Linked DNA regions of Anolis sagrei. The protein of the gene in region 1 interacts with the protein of each later gene in a biochemical or structural test. Links are inferred from orthologs where the notes say so. Each region holds a gene or a part of one and is shown in the gene's direction. Other genes may lie near its edges.

What was found. The genes of interacting proteins can lie anywhere in the genome.
Region 2: the proteins of EPS15 (region 1) and NUMB form a complex in vitro, tested with the Homo sapiens proteins (2 studies listed by BioGRID and IntAct, with this or other methods). The link is inferred for Anolis sagrei from reciprocal best matches to the Homo sapiens genes EPS15 and NUMB.
Region 3: the proteins of EPS15 (region 1) and FCHO1 form a complex in vitro, tested with the Homo sapiens proteins (2 studies listed by BioGRID). The link is inferred for Anolis sagrei from reciprocal best matches to the Homo sapiens genes EPS15 and FCHO1.

What each region holds. Positions count from the first base shown.
Region 1 is NC_090024.1:174,235,341-174,242,462, forward strand, and holds the start of EPS15 (epidermal growth factor receptor substrate 15), read left to right. Parts: upstream 1-4,069; 5' UTR 4,070-4,194; coding exon 4,195-4,221; intron 4,222-7,122. UniProt on the Homo sapiens protein: Involved in cell growth regulation. May be involved in the regulation of mitogenic signals and control of cell proliferation. Involved in the internalization of ligand-inducible receptors of the receptor tyrosine kinase (RTK) type, in particular EGFR.
Region 2 is NC_090021.1:286,265,577-286,273,549, reverse strand, and holds the start of NUMB (protein numb homolog), read left to right. Parts: upstream 1-4,885; 5' UTR 4,886-4,969; intron 4,970-4,975; exon of another isoform or gene 4,976-5,449; intron 5,450-7,973. UniProt on the Homo sapiens protein: Regulates clathrin-mediated receptor endocytosis. Plays a role in the process of neurogenesis.
Region 3 is NC_090034.1:62,482,830-62,490,424, reverse strand, and holds the start of FCHO1 (F-BAR domain only protein 1), read left to right. Parts: upstream 1-4,507; 5' UTR 4,508-4,577; intron 4,578-7,595. UniProt on the Homo sapiens protein: Functions in an early step of clathrin-mediated endocytosis. Has both a membrane binding/bending activity and the ability to recruit proteins essential to the formation of functional clathrin-coated pits.

The sequences.
Region 1 (7,122 bases):
CAAAATTCAGAAGACAGTCTAAAACTGCTTAAAACCAACATGTGAAACCTCCAGTCCTATTTTCCATCTCACATTGCCTTTGACTCTCAAAACTGCATATGAGGACAACAAGGTCTTTCTTATGTATTGCTGCAAATGATTATTGACTCTGAAGGTAGAATACACTCAATAAGATAGTGAATTCTGCTGTTCCTGTGTGTGTGCACTTATCCTATCTAATTTAAATTTAAAGTATATGTAGGGAACTGACGACCCATTTCAATCAACTATGACTAATTTGGCCTACTACAGCTTGACTATAAACATAGCAGAGTCTGAGAAGGCAGCTAGTTTGAATATAAATTTGTGCTGAACAGCGATAAAACTGTTTTAATCAAGCAAACCAAAGCAATTGACATATTTACTCTTTTGCGGCAACATTTCAGTGCTCTGTTTTTGGCAGAGCCCTTTTTTGTGGAGTGTACAAGCCGCAATTATACTTCGGACTTACACATTTGTTGAATTAATTTATGTGTGTAGCAACTTCTGAGAGCAACCTTGAGTTAAATATGCTAACTGCTCTCACAAAGCAATTCTTTCATCTTAGTGTGATTTGTTCAATAAACGTGAAATATTTGCACATACACCCCTAGTCTAAATAGATCTGACTCTCCAGCATTTCTCAGATAAAAATAGGGATAGTTTGAGGACATGTAATACCTTTACTTATGGTATTTTCCTGAAACCCCTCCTGTTACCTCCACAGCTATACACAGCTAAACACTCTAGCCAGTAAGGTGATTCTATAGAAGTAATGCCACACGACACTGCTTTAATAGCAATAGCACAGTACTATGGACTCCTGGGAGTTGTAGTTTCTTTAGTCTTCCCTGCCAAATAGTGTTTGTGCTTAACCAAACTACATCTGCCATGATTCTATAACAGTGAGTCATGGCAGCTAAGGAGTATTTAGCAGAATGGTAAATAATACTACTGGTATATTGGGTCAGGTTTTTTTTTTTTTTGGAAGAAAATAACTGCAACTCAAATAATTGCAGGAGGCATTCAATTATTTATGAATGGCGGGGGACAAATTTGTGCATTAACTTTAAAAGTTAATGAAAAATATCTTCCCAACGGCAAAAAAGGATGGTTTTTATCAAACAAGGACAGATACCAGAAAATAAAACCTGTCCTTGATAAATAGGTCACTTGGAGCAATTTGAACAATGTGAATAGATACATACAAGTGGAAGAATGTCATTAGTCCAGGATCTGACTGTCTGAAAAGAAAATCTCAGCTTTAATTTTGCTTTAAAAATAAAATTTCTTGGTGCTTATTATCATGAATATTGCATTATATAAACACATGTTGTGACATCTCAGAATTAGGAACCACGACTGCTTCTTATTTCATGTATCTTATATCATGAACATAATTGTAGTGTTTCTTTCCAAAAGGTACCAAATCCAAAAAGAAAAAAGAAAAAAAGAAAAATTAAAAGGAATTATGGGTAGCAGCACATTGTTGGCTAGGAGTACAGATCAAAACTAGCAAGATATATCAAATCACTTTGGTATAGGGATTTTTATTATCTGCGACTATGGTGGCGTAATGGATTAAACGCTTGTGCCGGCTGAACTGCTGACCTGAAGGTCAGTGGTTTGAATCCATGAGATGGGGTGAGCTCCTGTCCGTCAGCTCCAACTTCCCATGTGGGCACATGAGAGAAGCCTCCCACTGGATGCTAAAACATCCTGGCGTCCCCTGGGCAACATCCCTGCAGACGGCCAATTCTCTCACACCAGAAGCAACTTGCAGTTTCTCAAGTCATTTCTGACATTTAAAAAATCCCTTTAACTTTTCATATGGATTTAGTACCTTTTAGAAACAAACTCCATAGTTATATATTTCAAATCTAATGTGAGGGATGTCAGTACTGTCCGGAGGGCGTATTAAGCAGAAACTGGTTTTACAACATACCAAAACTCATGAAAGGCCATTCTCTCCCATTAAAGGACATATAATTTAGAGCAGCCCCCTAGTTCCCAACAATGGGGTACATGTCCCACAGGGGGGCAATTTGATTTTGAGGGGTGACAATGGAGGGGGAAAGCCCCTCATAGAGATTAGTGGTGAGAGCATAGCGTTAGCTAGAGAGGGCTAGTTAAGAACAGGGATGAGACAACAGGAAGTAAGAGAAATTTACCCCTTGCAAGGGAAATTTACTCCTGAAAGTTATCATCATGGAGAAAAGGTGTCCCCACTGGAGTTTTCTCACCAATCCTTGTTTCTACCATAAGCAAAATTTTGACTGATAAGGACTGTTCTATGGATATGGCTTTTAACACATGCGATTGTTGTTGTGGAAAGTGGTTTATTTGTTTTTATTATGATTTGTTTTATGATAGAACGCTTATATTATATATTTATTATTCAATTTATTGCTTATTATTTTTGAGGCATCAAATGACTGCCTTCATTTTGTAAGCCACCGAATCCCCATGAGAGATATCCAAAGTGTGTGAGAGAGATATATATGTGTGTGTGTATATATATAGCAAGAAAATATACTGACTGGAGTTATGAGCTATAAGTAATATATTTTATTAGGATTATTTTCTCTATGTATTGTGATTTGTTCTTTTGATCTGTTTGCTTTGATTTTAGCATTTGGATTGTAAGTGGGATTGATACTATTTATATCAACTTAAGTAGCTGAGGGGGAAAAGGAAGGGGCCTGAGGCTGTTAGGAATTTATTTATTTATTTACAGTATTTCAATCCTGACTTTCTCAGCCCGAAGACGACTCAGGGCGGCTTACAAATTTGCAGCAATTTGATGCCACAACAGTCATAAAATACAATTAAAAAACATAAAGCACAACATTATACAAATCCATACAAAAAACCCTTTAAAACATATAATTGCCTGTGTCTTCCTGTTAAGACTCATTTTTCCAGTAGCATCGTCTAAGCCGTTCCATGTTTACTCTTTCATAGTTCCATGTTTATCTATTATGCTGTATTTCCAAAAGCTTGTTCAGAGCCAGTTTTTTTTTACAGAAAGTCAGGAGGTAGAGGGGGCCAATCTAATATCTTTAAGGAGGGAATTCCACAGCAGAGGGGCCACCACTGAGAAGGCCCTGTCTCTCCTCTCCTCCAGATGCGCCTGCGAAGGTGGGAATAAGAGCTGATGATCTTAAGTTCCTAGATGGTTCATAAGGAGAGATACGTTCAAACAGGTAAGCTGGGCCGGATTTGTTTTGGGAATTGTGGAAGTTGAAGTCCAAAACACCTGCAGGGCCCAAGTTTGCCTAGGCCTGCTCTAGTGTAATGAGGTCTTAGGTCAGTGGTTCTCAACCTGTGGGTCCCCAGATGTTTTGGCTTTCAACTCCCAGAAATTCTAACAGCTGGTAAAGAAGGAGCCTGTACCACACTCCGGGGCAGAGAGTTCCACTGCTGAACAGCTCTAACAGTCAGGAAGTTCTTCCTAACGTTCAGATGGAATCTCCTTTCTTGTAGTTTGAAGCCATTGTTCCACGTCCTAGTCTCCAGGGCAGCAGAAAACAAGCCTGCTCCCTCCTCCCTATGACTTCCTCTCACATATTTATACATGGCCCTCATCACGTCTCCTCTCAGCCTTCTCTTTTGCAAGCTAAACAATCCCAGCTCTTTAAGCCGCTCCTCATAGGGCTTGTTCTCCAGACCCTTGATCATTTGAGTGGCCCTACTCTGGACACATTCTAGCTTGTCAGTATCTCTCTTCAGTTGTGGTGCCCAGAATTTCCGGGAGTTGTAGGCCAAAACACCTGAGGACCCACAGGTTGAGAACCATTGTCTTAGATAGAGTTACTATTTTCTGGCTCCAAGAGGGACACTGTGTACGAAATCCATTCAGGTTCCATTCCTCATAGTTGAAGAAAGTGGCGAGGACGCCTTAGGAAGCGAGCTTGAGGCCTGGTGGGAGAGTTTCTCGCTAGGCCGCAGCAGAGAGGAGCCGCACAACACTGCTCCCCCTGAGCCTGGGGAGCTTTGGGAGGCCGGCTCTGCTCCGGAGAGGCTGCCGGGAGGGAGGGAAGGAAGGAAGGCAGGGAGGCGGGGCCTGTCCGGGGCGTCTCGGGAAGTTGCTGAAGTTGGGCAGAGAGTGAGGGACGGAGGGCCGGGCCTTGCTCCGCTTTTCCGCGAAGGGGAGAGCTACAGGATGGAAGCAGCATGGCCACGCATTTCTCCTTGACGCAGGTGACTGTGGGGAAGGCGGGAGGGCGGAAAAGGAAACCCTCTGGAGGGGCCCTTGGCTGAGGGAAAGGCTTCCTCCCGCCCCCCGGTTCCTCCCCCCCCCCCGCTTTTGTGTTTCCCTCCCTTCCCCTTTGACGCGGCCTGCCTCTTCCAGGCCCTTATCTTACAACCACCTCTCTCAACTGCCACGGAGTCTGTAGTTTTGCATCGTGAGCCCTGTAGCAGTTGTACAGTCTTGGTATATAGCAGGCATGGGCAAACTTGGGCTGAATAAAATCCCACATTATCTGCTTTGAACTGGAATATATGGCAGTGTGGACTCAAATAACCCAGTTCAAAACAGATATGGTGGATTGTCTGCCTTGATATTCTGGGATATAGGGCTGTGTGGAAGGGCCCGCCAGGTGTGGACTTCAACTCTCACAATTCCTGTCTAGGAATTGTGGGAGTTGAAGTCCACTGCACCTTGAGGGCCCAAGTTAGCCCATGCCTGCCCCAGGACCCTCCAGGTGTTGTGGACTTCAACTCCCATAATTCCTAACAGCCTTCGAATTGTGGGAGTTGAAGTCCATAACATCTGGAGGGCCCAAGTTAGCCCATGCCTGCGGGAAAGGACCCTGGGAGTTGTAGTTTTTTGGTGAGACAGCAGCCCCTCTCTGGCAGAGAAGGCTCAAAACTTTGCAAAACTACCCTTCCCAGGACCCCATAGTATTCTCATCTCTCTAGGGCAGTACTGAGCTCCCGATGGCACAGTGGGTTAAACCCTGAGGACTGAAGGCCAACAGGTCGCAGGTTCAAATCTGGGGAGAGCGTGGATGAGCTCCCTCTGTCAGCTCCAGCTCCCCATACAGGGACATGACAGAAGCCTCCCACAAGGATGGTAAAACATCAAAACATCTGGGCGCCCCCTGGGCAACGTCCTTGCAGACAGCCAATTCTCTCACACCAGAAGTGACTTGCAGTTTTTCAAGTCGCTCCTGACATAGTTATCAATCTTTTTTTGACCAGGGATCGCTTTGACCGGGGCCACTCTCCGACATTAGTACCAAAGGAGTTACAAGTCAGTTTATGGTCAACTTTAGATTCGGTTTGGGGTGGTGATTCAGAAAATTGCATTGAACAGACCACATCAGCTCTAGTTTCTGATACAGAACATGTGCCATGGTGAACAACAGGGAAGGAGTGGCAGGCGGTGCAAAAGGAGCAAAAATTAAATAAATAAAGAGGAAAGGTTCGCGGATCGGATTTTCGTCCTCACAGCCCACTGGTGGTCTGCGGCCCACAGGTTAAGAACCACCGCTCTAGGGATACATATACGCTGCAGACTTAGGGCCCTCCCACAGTGCCATATATTCCAGTTCAAAGCAGATAATGTGGGATTTTATTCAGCTGTAAGGAAGGGGGCTTATACTATTAATGCTCAATGCTATGAAATAATGGGATTGGTCATTTCATAAGATCTTTAGCCTTTTCTAGCCACTCACAAAATTATACCTCCCGTGACAGTTAAAAGTGGTGTCAAACTGTACTAATTCCACAGTACATTCACCCCTAGATGTTGCTTTCGAAGTGTACTGTACTGTGGGTACATCTACAGTTCTACACTGTAGACTGGGTATGGTTTAACACCACTTTAACTACTGTAGCAGTGCAAAAATCCTGTAAAACTACAACTCCTGGGTTTCCATAGCATTGATCCCTGGCAGTTAAAGTAATGTCAAACTGCAGTAATCCTATGATGTAGAGATGCACCCTTACCAAAGTTGTTATACTGCAGCAAATGTGTTTCTGGATTGCCCCAGGAGTTGACCCGTCCATGCACTTTCTCATCTACATTGTAGAATTAATGCAGTTTGATATCACTTTAACCACCATACTTACTTACTTTACTACTTACCATAACCCTTCATGTCCAGTGGCGAAAATACTGAGCCCCATACTTATGAGCTGTGGAATGAGAGTTGTAGTTTTATAGGGCCTTTAGCCTATTCTTCCAAAGACCACTGGTATCTTACCAAAGTACACTATAGCATTGAGCTGCTGCAGTTAAGGTAGTGTCAAACTATACATTCTACAGTGTAAATACACTGTAAGATAGGTTGAAGGTCTTTTATCTGTAATGCTTGGAACCAAAGTGCTTCCAAATTTGGAATATTTACATACACATAAAGAGATAGCTTGGAGATGGGACCTAAGTCTAAATGTGACATTCATTCATGTTTCCTATAACCTGAAGTCAATTTTATAAACAATATTTTAATAGCTTTGTACATGAAACAAAGTTTGTGTACATTGCCTGTTTCCTAAGAGATACATATATTTTTCTTGCTCTGTGTTACACTCTTTTTTAAGCCACTTTTGTCCCGTGAATGTCTCTCTCTCTTTGTAAATACTTACCTTCACAAGCCTCAGAACAAGCTAGGTGTGTTACATAGAGAACAGAAAAAGTCAAAGGTGAAACTTAGGTTTGTTTTTTGTAACTCTTGAATAGCTTATTTCTCCAGTTCTTTTTGGAACATGATGGTCTGAATGTTAATATATAAGTTCTGGTGGCACAGAAGCCCCACTTCAATTCAAATGTGTAAAAATCCTTCTTGACTAGGAAAGCACCAGTGTTTGGACTGGGATAAGAAGATGCCAAGGCAGGATTGCTGCCTTTCATGTTAATTAGTCTTTTAGATAAAAACAGGAAATGTAGTCATAATGACTTGTGTAGGTGCTGTGTATTTATGCAATCCTCATTATTCTATGTGTACCTCCTGGGGTTCTTTATATTTGTGTAAATAAGAATTTGGTGCTGTTTTCATGGAGGAACAATTACAGGCCTAACTCAGGGCCCTTCCACACAGCCATATAATCCAGAATATTAAGGCTGAAAATCCCATAGTATCTGCTTTGAACTGG
Region 2 (7,973 bases), on another chromosome or scaffold:
TGGTCCACAAAAATCAACACAAGTATCATGAAAGCAATATGAATTAAATGAAAAAGCCTGGGAAATTTGAAAGGCTTTGGGGTCAAAATCATATTGAAATACAAGCCAAATAATTTTCCCAGAAGAGAGCATTCCACAGCTGTAATGCCACAACTGAATAGGGTTTTTTTAGTTGTAGCTATTAACTGCATCTAGGATGGTGGGGGCATCATGAGAAAGCTAAATCAGATTTTAATATGCCGACAGGCCTAAACCGAGACAAACAGCCTTTCAGGTATCCAATTCCTAGTTTCAGTCACTGAGTACTACTCTATTGTTCCTCCCAGTGCTGAACTCCTAACACACAGTAATGAACAAACCTACGTAATTAGAAGCTAGGACTAAATCGCCTAGTCTCAAACTTTGCTAGTGTTGGAATTTTGTTTCTACTCTGAGGGTTTTTTTTTAAAAAAGATGAAGATCTTCCAAATTGAACTTTTTGAAGAATTATCAATGTACAAGTTGAAGTATTTTCCTTTTTTCTTCCGTCAATCATTCTGTATTATCCCATGCCTCCTCTTCCTCATTAAAAGCAGATATGTACAGGAAAAATACTTTTAAAAATTAAAAGTTACTATACTGTATATATTGAGAAGGCATTTTAAAAACTGAAAATAATTTCACCTATTATTAATATATCAGATTCACCTAATTTCTGCTGAAGTTCTATAACTTGTGATAATAATCTCAATTCATACTACAGCTACTGTAATATATCACCGCTGAGGTCACACCATGACACATGTTAATGTCTTTTTTGTTGGCATGCAGGTTTAAAGCTCAATGCCTTATCTGAATTTTCCTGTCAGCAAAAACAAGATCCCACTCAGCATTCTGCAATTAGGATAATTAATCCCTTGATTCAGCTAAAGAATACCAACTAAGAAATAGGCTTAAATACGAAGGGTGGAGGGGGAAAATTTAAAGTATAACCATTTAAAAATTATTCTAGTACCATCAATTTTATCTTAAAGTAACAGCCTGTTTGAGAGTGAACAGGTTTAGGGATGCTATCCAAAAAGGGCTTTGGGATGCAAGTGTGGGAGAACATAAACATGTATGAACATAATTGGAAAAGGGCGTAATGCCACATGGAAAAGTGAAAACTAATCGTACTTGACACTGTCCATTTATCTTCTGTTTTAGCAAATTAAGATAATACCATACTTAAAGCATTAAGTGCTAAAATGCAGATATTCTTTTCACTTCTGCTATTAAATCAAAACAGCCAAGGATAAAAATATACCCTCTTGATTTCTCATGATTGCAGTTCTGTATACGTGGGAACAAGTCCTGTTGAATCAATTAAGCTTACCTCTGAGTACCACTGTTGAATTCATGCAGTTTGACACCACTTTAACTACCAAGGCTTAATGCCATGGATTCACAGGAGCTGTAATTTTTCTCTGCCATAAATGCTGGTACTCCACAAAACTGCAAATTGCATGATTCCATGGCATTGAACCATAACAATTAAAGTGGTGTTAAACTGAATTAATTTAACAGTGTAAATGTATCCTGAGTAGACATGTACATACTTACACGGTGATATGCTTTCTCTTTCTTGTGTTTGCTTACAAATTTCCTTTGTTCACCATGACAGCAGCTCTTTCTTCATTTCTTTTCTTCATCAGATACTTATCAGCATTTGTCAATACACGTGTTTTACGCATTTATACATGTCACAGTCACATTTTTTCTCTTGGTGGCTGCAGAAATCAAATGCCTACATGCCAGTCATACAGTCCTGTGTCTTTTTGTTACAACAATCAGCACATAAATAGTTCTAAGCCAAATGTTACATTGCAGAAACATTTGGAGCACTGCCTACTTCAGGACTCGTTCTGTGTATGAAATACTCCAGGAAGAGGCTTTCAATAACTGGATTGTACTGCTACTTTCATATTGTAGGGCCTGTTATAACATCAGAAGCAGATCTAATTCCAGATTGGGCTGTCTTTTTAAAAAATCTGAAGTATCCCCAGCAGTCAGGTGTAAACCTTGTGGGAAACATTGAAAGAAAACTAGAGCAGAAGACACTTAGATCAGTGGTTCTCAACCTGTGGGTCCCCAGATGTTTTGGCTTTCGTCTCCCAGAAATCCTAACAGCTGGTAAACTGGCTGGGATTTCTGGAAGTTGTAGGCCAAAACACCTGGGGACTCAGAGGTTGAGAACCACTGACAGATGCTTAGAAAGAGCAGCTCAAACATTAACATTGCTCAGATCTCATCAGTCAGTTTTCAATTATGCACTTGGTCTTCTATTACCATAATGAAGGGTGCAGTTACACTTTAGAATTATTACAGTTTGACACCACCCTAACCGCCCTGGCTCAGTGCTATGGGATCACGGGAGCTGCAATTTGACAAGGCCTTTAGCCTTCTCTGCTAAGGAGCACTGATGCCATCCCAAATGAAGCAGAGAGTGTTTGAGGACTGGGACATCCATAAGGATACCAAGGTGCTTGTTTATAAAGCTATTGTCCTCCCAACCCTGCTATACGCTTGCGAGATGTGGACTGGCTACAGACGTCACATGCAACTGGAATGATTCCATCAGCGCTGCCTCTGGAAAATCCTGCAAATCTCTTGAGAAGACAAGCGGACAAATGTCAGCGTGCTGGAAGAAGCAAAGACCACCAGCACTGAAGCGATGGTCCTCTGCCATCAAATCCGCTGGACCGGCCATGTTATCCGGATGCCTGACCACCGTCTCCCAAAGCAGTTGCTCTACTCCGAACTCAAGAACGGAAAACGGAATGTTGATGGGCAGGAAAAGAGATTTAAATATGGGCTCAAAGCCAACCTTAAAAACTCTGGCATAGACACTTCGAACTGGGAAGCCCTGGCCCTTGAGCACACCAGCTGGAGGTCAACTGTGACCAGCAGTGCTATAGAATTTGAAGAGGTACGAATGGAGGGCGAAAGAGAGAAACTTGCCAAGAGGAAGATGCGTCAAGCCAACCCCGACTGGGACCGCCTTCCACCTGGAAACCAGTGCCCTCACTGAAGGAGAAGATGCAGATCAAGAATAGGGCTCATAGCCACCTGTGGACCCACTGCCAGTACACTGATCTTGGAAGACTATCCTACTCAGACAACGAGGGGTTGCCTGAGTAAGTAAGTAAAGTAAGCCTTCCCAAACTACAGCTCCCAGGATTCCACAGCATTGAGCCAGGGAAGTTCAAGTGGTGTTAAACTGCATTAATCCTACAGTGTAGATTCACACATAGATATCAATTTTGTGCTCCTCCGCTCTTCCTAGTGCTGTCCCTGAAGGCAACTGAATCCCATTTGCTGTGTTTTGCAGAGCAGCTGATTATTATCTGAGTCGTAGTGGACCTAAATAGCAAAAAGGCAGCAGATCTCATGCTAATGGCCCAGTTCATCTCACAAATCATACGTTCTGACACAGCTTTCATCAATCACTAGGGCTTTTAATAATTCACTACAGCAATTAAATTTTCAAATTGCCCATTTCCCTTTTGTTAGGATAGTGAAAAGTAGATGGATAGGGTCAAATCCCTTTAAAGGAAATGGCAGCAGAAAAAATGAGAATTAATTTTAGCTGCCAAGAAAGAAATTTCAGCTGGTTGATCAAAAGGCTTCAGAGACGTGGTTTTCCACTTCAAGGGGGACTGTGGCACTTCTAGAGACAACTTCCAAGTTCCATGATTCTCAGAAGATCCCAAAAGTCTTAGTTTGAATGTAACATATATGCAATCGTACATTGTTTAGCATGCAGTATTGTGAGAACAACGTAAGACGATAAAACATCAAGCTGAGGCACTTGAAGACAAATGCGTTTTTTTCCCATCAGCACAGGAAGTACATCTACACTCTAGAATTAAGGCAATTTGACACAATTTTAACTGCTATGGCTCAATGCTATGGAATAATGGGAGTTGTAGTTTGCAAGATCTTGATAACTTCCTCTGCCAGAGAGTACTGGTGCCTTGAGCCAGGGCAGTCAAAGTGGTGTCAGGAACTGCTTGAGCTTGACAATATATAGATGGAACTCTGAGGCCCCTTCCACACATGTGAATAAAATCCCACATGACCTGCTTTGAATTGGAATATATGGCTGTGTGGACTCTGATAACCCAGTTCAAAGCAGATATTCTGGGTTATATAGGTGTGTGGAAAGGGCCTGAGTCCACACTGCCATATATTCCAATTCAAAGCAGATATTGTGGGATTTTTATGTCTTGACAGTCTGGGTTATATGGCTGTGTGGAAAGGCCCTGAGTCCAAACTGCTATATAACCCAGTTCAAAGCAGATATTGTGGGATTTTCTGCCTTGGTATTTTGCGTTATATGGCTGTGTGGAAAGGCCCCAAGTCCACACTGCCATATATTCCAGTTCAAAGGAGATATGCTGTGTGGAAAGGCCCTGAGTCCACACTGCCATATATTACAATTCAGAGCAGATATTGTGAAGTTTTCTGCCTTGATAGTCTGGGTGACTTTATGACTATGTGGAAATGCCCTGACAAACTCCCCAGTTTTCTGAACTTCTGCCTTCTCTACCGTGCAACCAAACCGTGCGGGGTACTTATAGTCCAACCTGTACCAGGAGGCGGGGACATATACCATGATGTCTCCTCTTTCGACCTATCCCAGCCATCGCGTCTTGAGTTTGAACCAATACGAGAGGAGGTGAGGGCGGGCGGGCGAGGAGGGAGCTCGGGAGTAAATCAAAACGCCCTGAAAAAAGAGGCGGGGTCAAATTTTTGACAGGCGTACCCCGCTGCCCAATGGCGACGAGGAACTGCTTCCGAGTTAGCCAACCGGGGAGCGGGGAAGGCGAGCGAGGCGAAGGAGGCGGGCTCTGTTGCCAGGGCGTCGGGGAAGGGGGCGGCCGCGGGCGGCTTGGCGGCTGAGGAGGCGCTGAAGGGAGGCAGGCAGGCAGGCGGCTGCGGGGAGCAGGTGAGAGCGAGCGAACGAGCGGCCGGCTGAGTGGGCCCGGGGAACTCTCCGGGGTGGGGCCGCTCTGAGGGGAAAGGGCGGCGGGGAAAGGCCCGGGCTTGAGAGAGAGAGAGGAATTGAGAGGAAGAGGGCGAAGGTGCCTCGCCTCAGGCGCTGAGGGAAGAAGGAAGGGATAAAGGAGCCAGCGAGAGAGCGAGGGCGTCTTGAGGGGAAGAAGGGAGTGAAGAAGCCAAGGCGGGAGAAGAAGCAGCAGCAGCAGCAGCAGCCCCGGAGCGAAGGGGGCTGCCCAGGAATGCAGGCGGGCGAGGAGCCCTGAGGGAAGGAAGGAAGGAAGGCGGAGGGCTGAGGCAGGCGACCTCCGCCCCAAGTCCTCCTCGCTCTCGGCCCCGGAGGCCTCGGACGGTGTCCTCACTTCCCTCAGGAGTGGCCTCCCTCTCAGAAGGGCTAGGCCCCGGCTTCCTCTTCGGTTCGTTCGCTGAGGTATTCTTGCCTTTCCTTTTTTGGAGGAAGGTTGCCAACTAACTGGCTTTCTTTCCTCCCTTCCCTTCCTTCCTTCCTTCCTTCCTCAGAGCAGCTCATGTCTCTCTCATGCTTTTTTTTTTTTTTTGGCAGCCAATTCCTTTCCCCCTGGATGCTGTCTCTCTAAGGGGGCATCTATTCTGCATCATCTAGAGAACCATTTGATTTACTTCAAAATAATTATTGCTATTTTTGTTAGTTATTTATGGTATTATTGAAACACACCAAGATGAGTCCACAACAAACAAGATCACTCTGCTGCCTATTATATTTGATCACACGTCGGACACTTCCCAGGTGTCTAGGACTGTGTGATATATCGACGAATAATGTGTGCAGATTCTAGTAAGGTGGCCTTTTGCAGCTGGCAGCTGGTAATTTTTGTCAGCGCCGATCGTGTTTAAGTGCAGGCCAGGGTCTTTAGGCACTGCACCCAGTGTGCCAATCACCACTGGGACCACCTTGAATGGCTTGTGCCAGAGTCTTTGCAGTTCGATCTTTAAATCCTCATATCGTGTCAGCTTTTCCAGTTGTTTCTCTTCAGTCCTGCTGTTGCCTGGATTGCAACATCGACAGTCCATACTTTGTTTTTTAACACGATCGTGAGGTCAGGAGTATTGTGCTCCAAAACTCTGTCTGAATCCGGAAGTCCGAGAGTAGCTTGAATCTGGATATTCAAGTTTCCATAGCTGGTACATCTGTTTTGGTATCCACGTTTTTGTGGTTCTGATCTATAATAGCAGTTCATGCGCCAAAAAAGAAAAGAAAAAAGGGGAGTATTGTGTTCCAAAACTCTGTCTGAATACAAAAGGCGCAGAGGAGTTTGACGTGTTCATTTTCTGTAACTTTTTCCGGCTTGTGATCCCACCAGTTCTTTGTTGCAGTTAGATGGTATTTGTGGCACAGGTTTCAGTGAATCATCTGTTATGCCTCTGCTTGTAGTCTGTCTGCACGATCTTCTTTTAGCAGCTGAGGATGTGATCTATTGTTTCATCTGCTTCCTTGCAGATTCTACATTTGGGATCTGTTGTCGACTTTTCAATTCTGGCTTTGATGGCATTTGTTCTAATAGCTTGTCCTTGGGCTGCCAGAATCAGGCCCTCTATCTCCTTTTTCAATTATTATTATTATTTTGTCCCACCACCTTTCTTCTGCTATAGCAGTGGTTCTCAACCTTCCTAATGCCATGACCCCTTAAAACAGTTCCTCATTTTGTGGTGACTCCCAACCATAAAATTATTTTCGTTGCTACTTCATAACTGTAATTTTGCTACTGTTATGAATTTTCATGCAAATATCACAATACGCTGGATGTGTTTTCATCCCCTGGACCAAATTTGGCGCAAATACCTGATATGCCCAAATTTGAATATGGTGGGGTTGGGGGCGCATGATTTTGTCGTTTTAGAGTTGTAGTTGCAGGGATTTATAGCTTACCTACAATCAAAGAGCATTCTGAACTCCACCAACAATGGAATTGAACCAGTCTTGGCACACAGAACTCCCATGACCAACAGAAAATAATGGAAAGGTTTGGTGGGCATTGAACTTGGGTTTTGGAATTGTAGTTCACCTACATTCAGAGAGCACTCTGTACTCAGACAATGATGGACCTGGACCAAATTTGACATGAATACTCAATATGCCCAAATGTGAGCACTGGCGGAGTTTAGGGAAAATAAACCTTGACATTTGGGGGTTGTAGTTGCTGATATTTATAGTTCACCTACAATCAAAGAGCATTCTGAATACCACCAATAATAGCATTGGGCCAAACTTCCCACATAGAACCCCTATGACTAACAGAAAATACTGTGTTTTCTGATAGTCTTTGGCAACACCTCTGATACCCACTTGCGACCCTCCCCCCAGGGGTCCTGATTTCCAGGTTGACAAACACTGTGCTATAGGGACTTGGCTGCTGTATTGCTAGGGGTGTATCTACACTAGGCGTGGGCAAACTTCGATCCTCTAGCTGTTTTGGACTTCAACTCCCACAATTCCTATCAGCCGGAGTTGAAGTTCAAAACACCTGGAGGACCGAAGTTTGTCCATGCCTGGGCCACATGGTCAAATTAATAATAATAATGTATTTAATTTAATTTATTTTTTATCCTGCCTTTCTCCAGATATAGCAGACATGGGCAAACTTCAGCTCTCTGTGTGTTTTGGACTTCCACAATTCCTAATAGCCTACTGATAGGCTGTTAGGAATTGTGGGAGTTGAAGTCCAGAACACCCAGAGGGCTGAAGTTTGCCCATGCCTGTGGTATAGGGACTTAGGTGCTGTATTGGTAAGGGTGCATCTACATCATCAAATTTATTATTATTTTTTATACTGATTTAGTTTATTTATTTTTATCCTGTCTTTTTCCAAATATAGAGACGCAAGGGTGCTATATTGCTAAGGTTGCAGCTACACTGTCAAATTTATTATTATTATGTAACGATAAAGGTTTCCTCTGACATTAAGGCTAGTTGTGTT
Region 3 (7,595 bases), on another chromosome or scaffold:
AGTATTTTCTGTTGGTCATGGGGGTTCTGTGTGGGAAGTTTGCCCCATTTCTGTCATTTGTGGGTTTCAGAATGCTCTTTAATTGTAGTAAACTATAAATCCCAGTAACTACAAATCCCAAATGTCAAGGTCTATTTCCTCCAAACTCCATCTGTGTTCATATTTAGGCATATGGAATATTTGTGTCAAGTTTGGTCCAGACCCTTTTAAATAAATAAATAAATAAATAAATAAGATCCATCATTGTTTGAGTCCACAGTGCTCTCTGGATGTAGGTGAACTACAACTCCCAAACTCAAGGTCAATGCCCACCAAACCCTCCCAGTGTGTTCTGTTGGTCATGGAAGTCCTGTATGCCATGTTTGGTTGAATTCCATCTTTGGTGGAGTTCAGAATGCTCTTTCATTGTAGGTGAACTATAAATCCCAGCAACTACAACTCCCAAAATGTCAAGGTCTATTTCCCTTAAACTCCATCTGTGTTCATATTTGGGCATATGGAATATTCGTGCCAAGTTTGGTCCAGATCCATCATGGTTTGAGTCCACAGTGCTCTCTGGATGTGGGTGAACTATAATTCCCAAACTCAAGGTCAATGTCCACCAAACCCTTCCAGTTTTTTCTGTTGGTCATGGGAGCCCTGTGTTCAATTCCATCATTGGTGGAGTCCAGAATCCCCTTTGATTGTAGGTGAACTATAAATCCCAGCAACGACAATTCCCAAATGACAAAATCATAATGTTTTGCGTGATGGTCACTCCTTGTGTTGTGAGACGTTTTGTTGCCAAATTTGGTGTGATTTTGTTTATTGGTTCTTTTGTTTTTAGGGAACTCATTATGCACAGAGCATTTATATAGATAGATAGAAGACTGATAGATAGAATATAGATAGAGAGATAGATAGATAGATAGATAGAAGATAGATAGAAGATAGATAGATAGATAGATAGATAGATAGAAGATAGATAGATAGATAGATAGAAGATAGAAGATAGCTAGACAGAAGATAGATAGATAGATAGATAGATAGATAGATAGATAGATAGATAGATAGATAGAAGATAGAAGATAGCTAGATAGAAGATAGATCGATAGATAGATAGAAGATAGATAGATAAATAGAAGATAGATAGAAGATAGATTAGATAGAAGATAGATAGATAGATAGATAGATAGATAGACAGACAGATAGAAGATAGATAGAAGATAGAAGATAGCTAGATAGAAGATAGATAGATGGCTAGATAGATAGAAGATAGATTAGATAGAAGATAGATAGAAGATAGATAGATAGCTAGATAGAAGATAGATAGATAGAAGATAGCTAGATAGAAGATAGATAGCTAGATAGATAGAAGATAGATTAGATAGAAGATAGATAGAAGATAGATAGATAGCTAGATAGAAGATAGATAGATAGATAGAAGATAGCTAGATAGTAGATAGCTAGATAGATAGAAGATAGATTAGATAGAAGATAGATTAGATAGAAGATAGATAGAAGATAGATAGATAGCTAGATAGAAGATAGATAGATAGATAGATAGAAGATAGCTAGATAGAAGATAGATAGCTAGATAGATAGAAGATAGATTAGATAGAAGATAGATAGAAGATAGATAGATAGCTAGATAGAAGATAGATAGATAGATAGATAGATAGATAGATAGATAGAAGATAGATAGATAGAAAATAGATAGATAGATAGAAGATAGATAGATAGAAGATAGATAGAAGATAGATTAGATAGAAGATAGATTAGAAGATAGATAGAAGATAGATTAGATAGAAGATAGCTAGCTAGCTAGCTAGATAGAAGATAGATAGAAAATAGATAGATAGATAGAAGATAGATTAGATAGAAGATAGCTAGCTAGCTAGCTAGAAGATAGATAGATAGATAGAAGATAGAAGATAGCTAGCTAGCTAGATAGAAGATAGATAGATAGAAGATAGATAGATAAATAAAAGATAGATAGAAGATAGATAGATAGAAGATAGATAGATAGATAGATAGAAGATAGATAGAAGATAGATAGATAGATAGCTAGATAGATAGAAGATAGATGTTTATAATATAATGTAATGTAATGTATGTGGGGCCCCCGGTGGCGCAGTGGGTTAAAGCACTGAGCTGCTGAGCTTGTTGATCGAAAGGTCGCAGGTTCAACTCCGGGGAGCGGCATGAGCGTCCGCTGTCAGCCCTAGCTTCTGCCAACCTAGCAGTTCAAAAACATGCAAATGTGAGTAGATCAATAGGTACCGCTCCGGCGGGAAGGTAAGGGCACTCCATGCAGTCATGCCGGCCACATGACCTTGGAGGTGTCTACGGACAACGCTGGCTCTTCGGCTTAGAAATGGAGATGAGCACCACACCCCAGAGTCGGACACGACTGGACTTAATGTCAGGGGACTACCTTTACCTTTACCTTAATGTAATGTATATACATAGAATATTTATAATATAATGTAATACAATATAATACTAATAATAATAATGTAATATTATAATTATATATTTTATATTACTAATAATATTACAATAACAGTGACAAATGCAAGATACTCCACTTTGGCAGAAAAAACGAAATGCAAAGATACAGAATGGGGGACAATGCCTGGCTCGAGAGCAGTACGTGTGAAAAAGATCTTGGAGTCCTCGTGGACAACAAGTTAAACATGAGCCAACAATGTGATGTGGCGGCAAAAAAAGCCAATGGGATTTTGGCCTGCATCAATAGGAGCATCGTGTCTAGATCTAAGGAAGTAATGCTACCCCTCTATTCTGCTTTGGTTAGACCACACCTGGAATATTGTGTCCAATTCTGGGCACCACAATTCAAGAGAGATATTGACAAGCTGGAATGTGTCCAGTGGAGGGCGACTAAAATGATCAAGGGTCTGGAGAATAAGCCCTATGAGGAGCAGCTTAAGGAGCTGGGCATGTTTAGCCTGAAGAAGAGAAGGCTGAGAGGAGATATGATAGCCATGTATAAATATGTGAGAGGAAGCCACAGGGAGAAGGGAGCAAGCTTATTTTCTGCTTCCTTGCAGACTAGGATGCGGAACAATGGCTTCAAACTACAAGAGAGGAGATTCTATCTGAACATTAGGAAGAACTTCCTGACTGTGAGAGCCGTTCAGCAGTGGAACTCTCTGCCCCGGAGTGTGGTGGAGGCTCCTTCTTTGGAAGCTTTTAAGCAGAGGCTGGATGGCCATCTGTCAGGGTTGCTTTGAATGCAATATTCCTGCTTCTTGGCAGGAGGTTGGACTGGATGGCCCATGAGGTCTCTTCCAACTCTTTGATTCTATGATAGATAGATAGATAGATAGATAGATAGAAGATAGATAGCTAGATAGATGATAGATAGATAGATAGATAGAAGATAGATAGATAGCTAGATAGATAGAAGATAGATAGCTAGATAGATAGAAGATAGATAGAAGATAGATAGCTAGATAGATAGAAGATAGATAGATAGATAGAAAGAAAGAAGATAGATAGATAGAAGATAGATAGCTAGATAGATAGAAGATAGATAGAAGATAGATAGCTAGATAGATAGAAGATAGATAGATAGATAGATAGATAGAAGATAGATAGAAGATAGATAGATAGATAGATAGAAGATAGATAGATAGAAGATAGATAGCTAGATAGATAGAAGATAGATAGATAGATAGATAGATAGATAGAAGATAGATAGATAGAAGATAGATAGATAGAAGATAGATAGCTAGATAGATAGAAGATAGATAGAAGATAGATAGATAGATAGATAGTAGATAGCTAGATAGATAGAAGATAGATAGCTAGATAGATAGAAGATAGATAGAAGATAGATAGATAGATAGATAGATAGATAGATAGATAGAAGATAGATAGCTAGATAGATAGAAGATAGATAGATAGAAGATAGATAGAAGATAGATAGATAGATAGAAGATAGATAGCTAGATAGATAGAAGATAGATAGCTAGATAGATAGATAGAAGATAGATAGATACTAGCTAGCTAGATAGATAGATAGAAGATAGATAGATAGAAGATAGATAGAAGATAGATAGAAAGCTAGATAGATAGAAGATAGATGTTTATAATGTAATGTAATGTATATACATATAATATTTATAATATAATGTAATACAATATAATACTAATAATAATGTAATATTATAATTATATATTTTATATTACTAATAATATTACAATATAATGGTATGGTATGATATAGTAATATATCATACTGATATTGTACTATGCTAATAATATAATATATTGTATGTATAATATATCTTGTAAGCCGCTCTGAGTCCCCTTCGGGGTGAGAAGGGCGGCATATAAATGTAAACACAAGACAATGTAAGGCAGGCCTGTACGCGCCTGCGCAGAAGCGCACGCCAATAGCGGGATGGAAATAGGGCCGCTTCTCCTTTAAGCATGCAAATAAGCCCAGCGGGGCAGGCCAATCAGGAGCGCTTGTGCTCCGCAGGGGTGGGGGGGGCTGGCTGTGCCCGCTCCCCGCCTGGTTTTGTGTGCAGAGGACGCGGCGCAGGTGCGGGATCGGCGCGCGACAGGTCGGGGGCCGGGACACACCCCCACCACTGCGGGGAGGGAGAGAGGGAGGGGGCTTCATTAGCCTTGAAAGGGAGGGGGTTTGCCAAGGTGCATGCACACACACACACACATATATATAATAGTATGTGCATCTAATTTGCATAGATGTACATTATCATAGTGTTTTGCAATATTTTATGCATCCATATGTGTGTGTGTGTTGCAAGGGCATGAAATGTCCATCTTATTTGCATAGATTTGTCTAATTGTACATTTTTGGTGTGTGTGTGTGTGTGTGTGTTGACAACCACCATAACAGATGCACACTTCATGTCATTACAATATATATATATATATATTGTAATGACATGAAGTGTGCATCTGATATGGTGGTTGTCAATTTTTTTTTGCATGCTAATATATGTGTGTGTGTATTGCAATGGCATGAAGTGTGCATCTTAGTTACATAGATTGGTCTAATTGTACCTTTTTTGCATGTGTGTATATATATATATATAGTAAGGACAGGAAGTGTGCACCTTATTTGCATATATTTGCATAACAATTGTGGCGTGCACGTTTTTTTGCATACTCATACGCTCCCTGCATTGTCTATCGTCTATCTATCGTCAAAACAACATTCTGTTTATTATTTATTAGTATACAAATAGCTTATATGGTCTAGTGGGGAGGGAGCATTAATACACAACAGTCCCATTTCATATTATCTTTATTATTCTTTTTATTGTTATTATTATTTTTATGATACTATTGTTATTTTATTGATTATATTATTTATTAGTATCAGGAAGTGTGTCGAGGTACTGCAAGTCCCATTGTCCAAACCACACCAAGATGTTGAGTTGGTCATGGGGGCTCTGTATGTCAAGTTTGGTCTTGATCGGTCATTGGTGTGGATCACAGTTGTCTCAGGAAGTGTGTCAAGGTACTGCAAGTCCCATCATCCATGGGCCGTCATCCCACAGACCACACCAGGATGTAGAGTGGGTTATGGGGGCTCTGTATGCCAAGTTTGAGCTTGATCAGTCATTGGTGTGGATCACAGTGGTCGCAGGAAGTGTGTCAAGGTACTGCAAGTCCCATCATCCATGGTCCATCATCCCACAGACCACACCAGGATGTAGAGTGGGTTATGGGGGCTCTGTATGTCAAGTTTGGTCTTGATCAGTCATTGGTGTGGATCACAGTAGTCTCAGGAAGTGTGTCAAGGTACTGCAAGTCCCATCATCCATGGTCCGTCATCCCACAGACCACACCAGGATGTAGAGTGGGTTATGGGGGCTCTGTATGTCAAGTTTGAGCTTGATCAGTCATTGGTGTGGGTCGCAGTCATCTCAAGAAGTGAGTGAAGATACTGCAAGTCCCATCATCCATGGTCCAAACTCTTCCAAACCACACCAGGATATTGAGTGGATCATGGGGATTCTCTGTGCCAAGTTTGGTCTGAGTCAGTCATTGGTTTGGGTCAAAGTGCTCTCAGGAATGAGTGAAGGTACTTCATGTCCCATTGTCCATGGTCTATCCTCCTCCCGATAGCACCAGGATGTAGAGTGAGTCATGAGGGCTCAGTGTGCGAGGCTTCATCTTGATCAGGCATTGGTGAAGGTTGCAGTGGTCTCAGGAAGTGAGTGAAGTTACTGCAAGTTCCATCATCCATAGTCCATCCTCCTCCAAACTGCACCATGATGTAGAGTGGGTCACGGGGGCTCTGTGTTCCAAGTTTAGCCCTGATTCATCATTATTGGGACTTGTAGTGGTTTCAGGAAGTGAGTGAAGGTACTGCATCTCCTATCATCCATTGACCTATGTCCCCCAAACCTCACCAGGATTTAAAGTGGGTCATGGTGGGTCTGAGTGGCAAGTTTAGTCCAGGTCTCTGATTTTTGGGGACCACAGTGTTCTGTGGGAAGTGAATTGGGTGAAGAGACTGTAAATCCCATTATCCATGGTCCATCCTCCCTCTAACTACACCAGGTTGTAAAGTGGGCCAACTTTGGTCTTGATCTGTCATTGGTGGGGGTCGCAGTGGTCTTTGAAAGCTTACGTTTTTGGAAGTACTGCAGATCCCATCATCCATGGTCTGTCTTCCCCTAAACCATGTGCCAAGTTTGGTCCAGGTCCGTCAATCGTGGGGGGTCGCAGTAGCCTATGGAAATGGCAGCCAATCACAAAGCTGCCACATACCCGCACCGCCGCATACATAGGAACACTGACTTTATTATTTAGTTAGATACAGATAGATGTGTGTGTGTGTGTGAGTGTGTAATTATGGCCATGTGAATTTTTGGGAACACTATTATTACTATTATATTTATTATTAGTAGCAATATAATGATAATTATTGCCGTTATTATATTATATAGTAGTGTTATTATTTATTATGTATATTACTATTATACAGTGTGTGTGTGTGTGTGTGTGTGTGTGTGTGTGTGTGTGCATTTATGTGTTTGTGTGTATGTATATATACATTGTGGCCATGTGAAGTCTTGGGAACGATTATTATTATTAGATACACAACCAGATTAGGACACAGCAAACAAGATCACTCTGCTGGCTGTTGTATTGGATCACACGTCAGACACTTCCCAAGTGTGTGGGACTGTGTGATGTATCGGCGAATAATGCGTGCAGATCCAAGTAAGATGGCCTTTTGCAGCTGGCAGATGGTAATTTTGTCAGCACCGATTGTTTTCAAGTGCTGACCAAGGTCTTTAGGCACTGCACCCAGTGTTCCGATCACCGCTGGGACCACCTTGACTGTTTTTTTTAATATTATTATTATTATTATTATTATTATTATTATTATTTGAAACACAACAAGATTAGTACACAGCAAACAAGATCACTATGTTGGCGGTTGTATTGGATCACACGACACTTCCCAAGTGTATTATTATTATTATTATTATTATTATTATTATTATTATTACATGTTATTCTTGCCCTTGGCTCTTACTTGATTTTGGATGTTTTCAAAGCCGAAAGGTTGTGGTTTCCTCTTCCTCTTCTGCTGC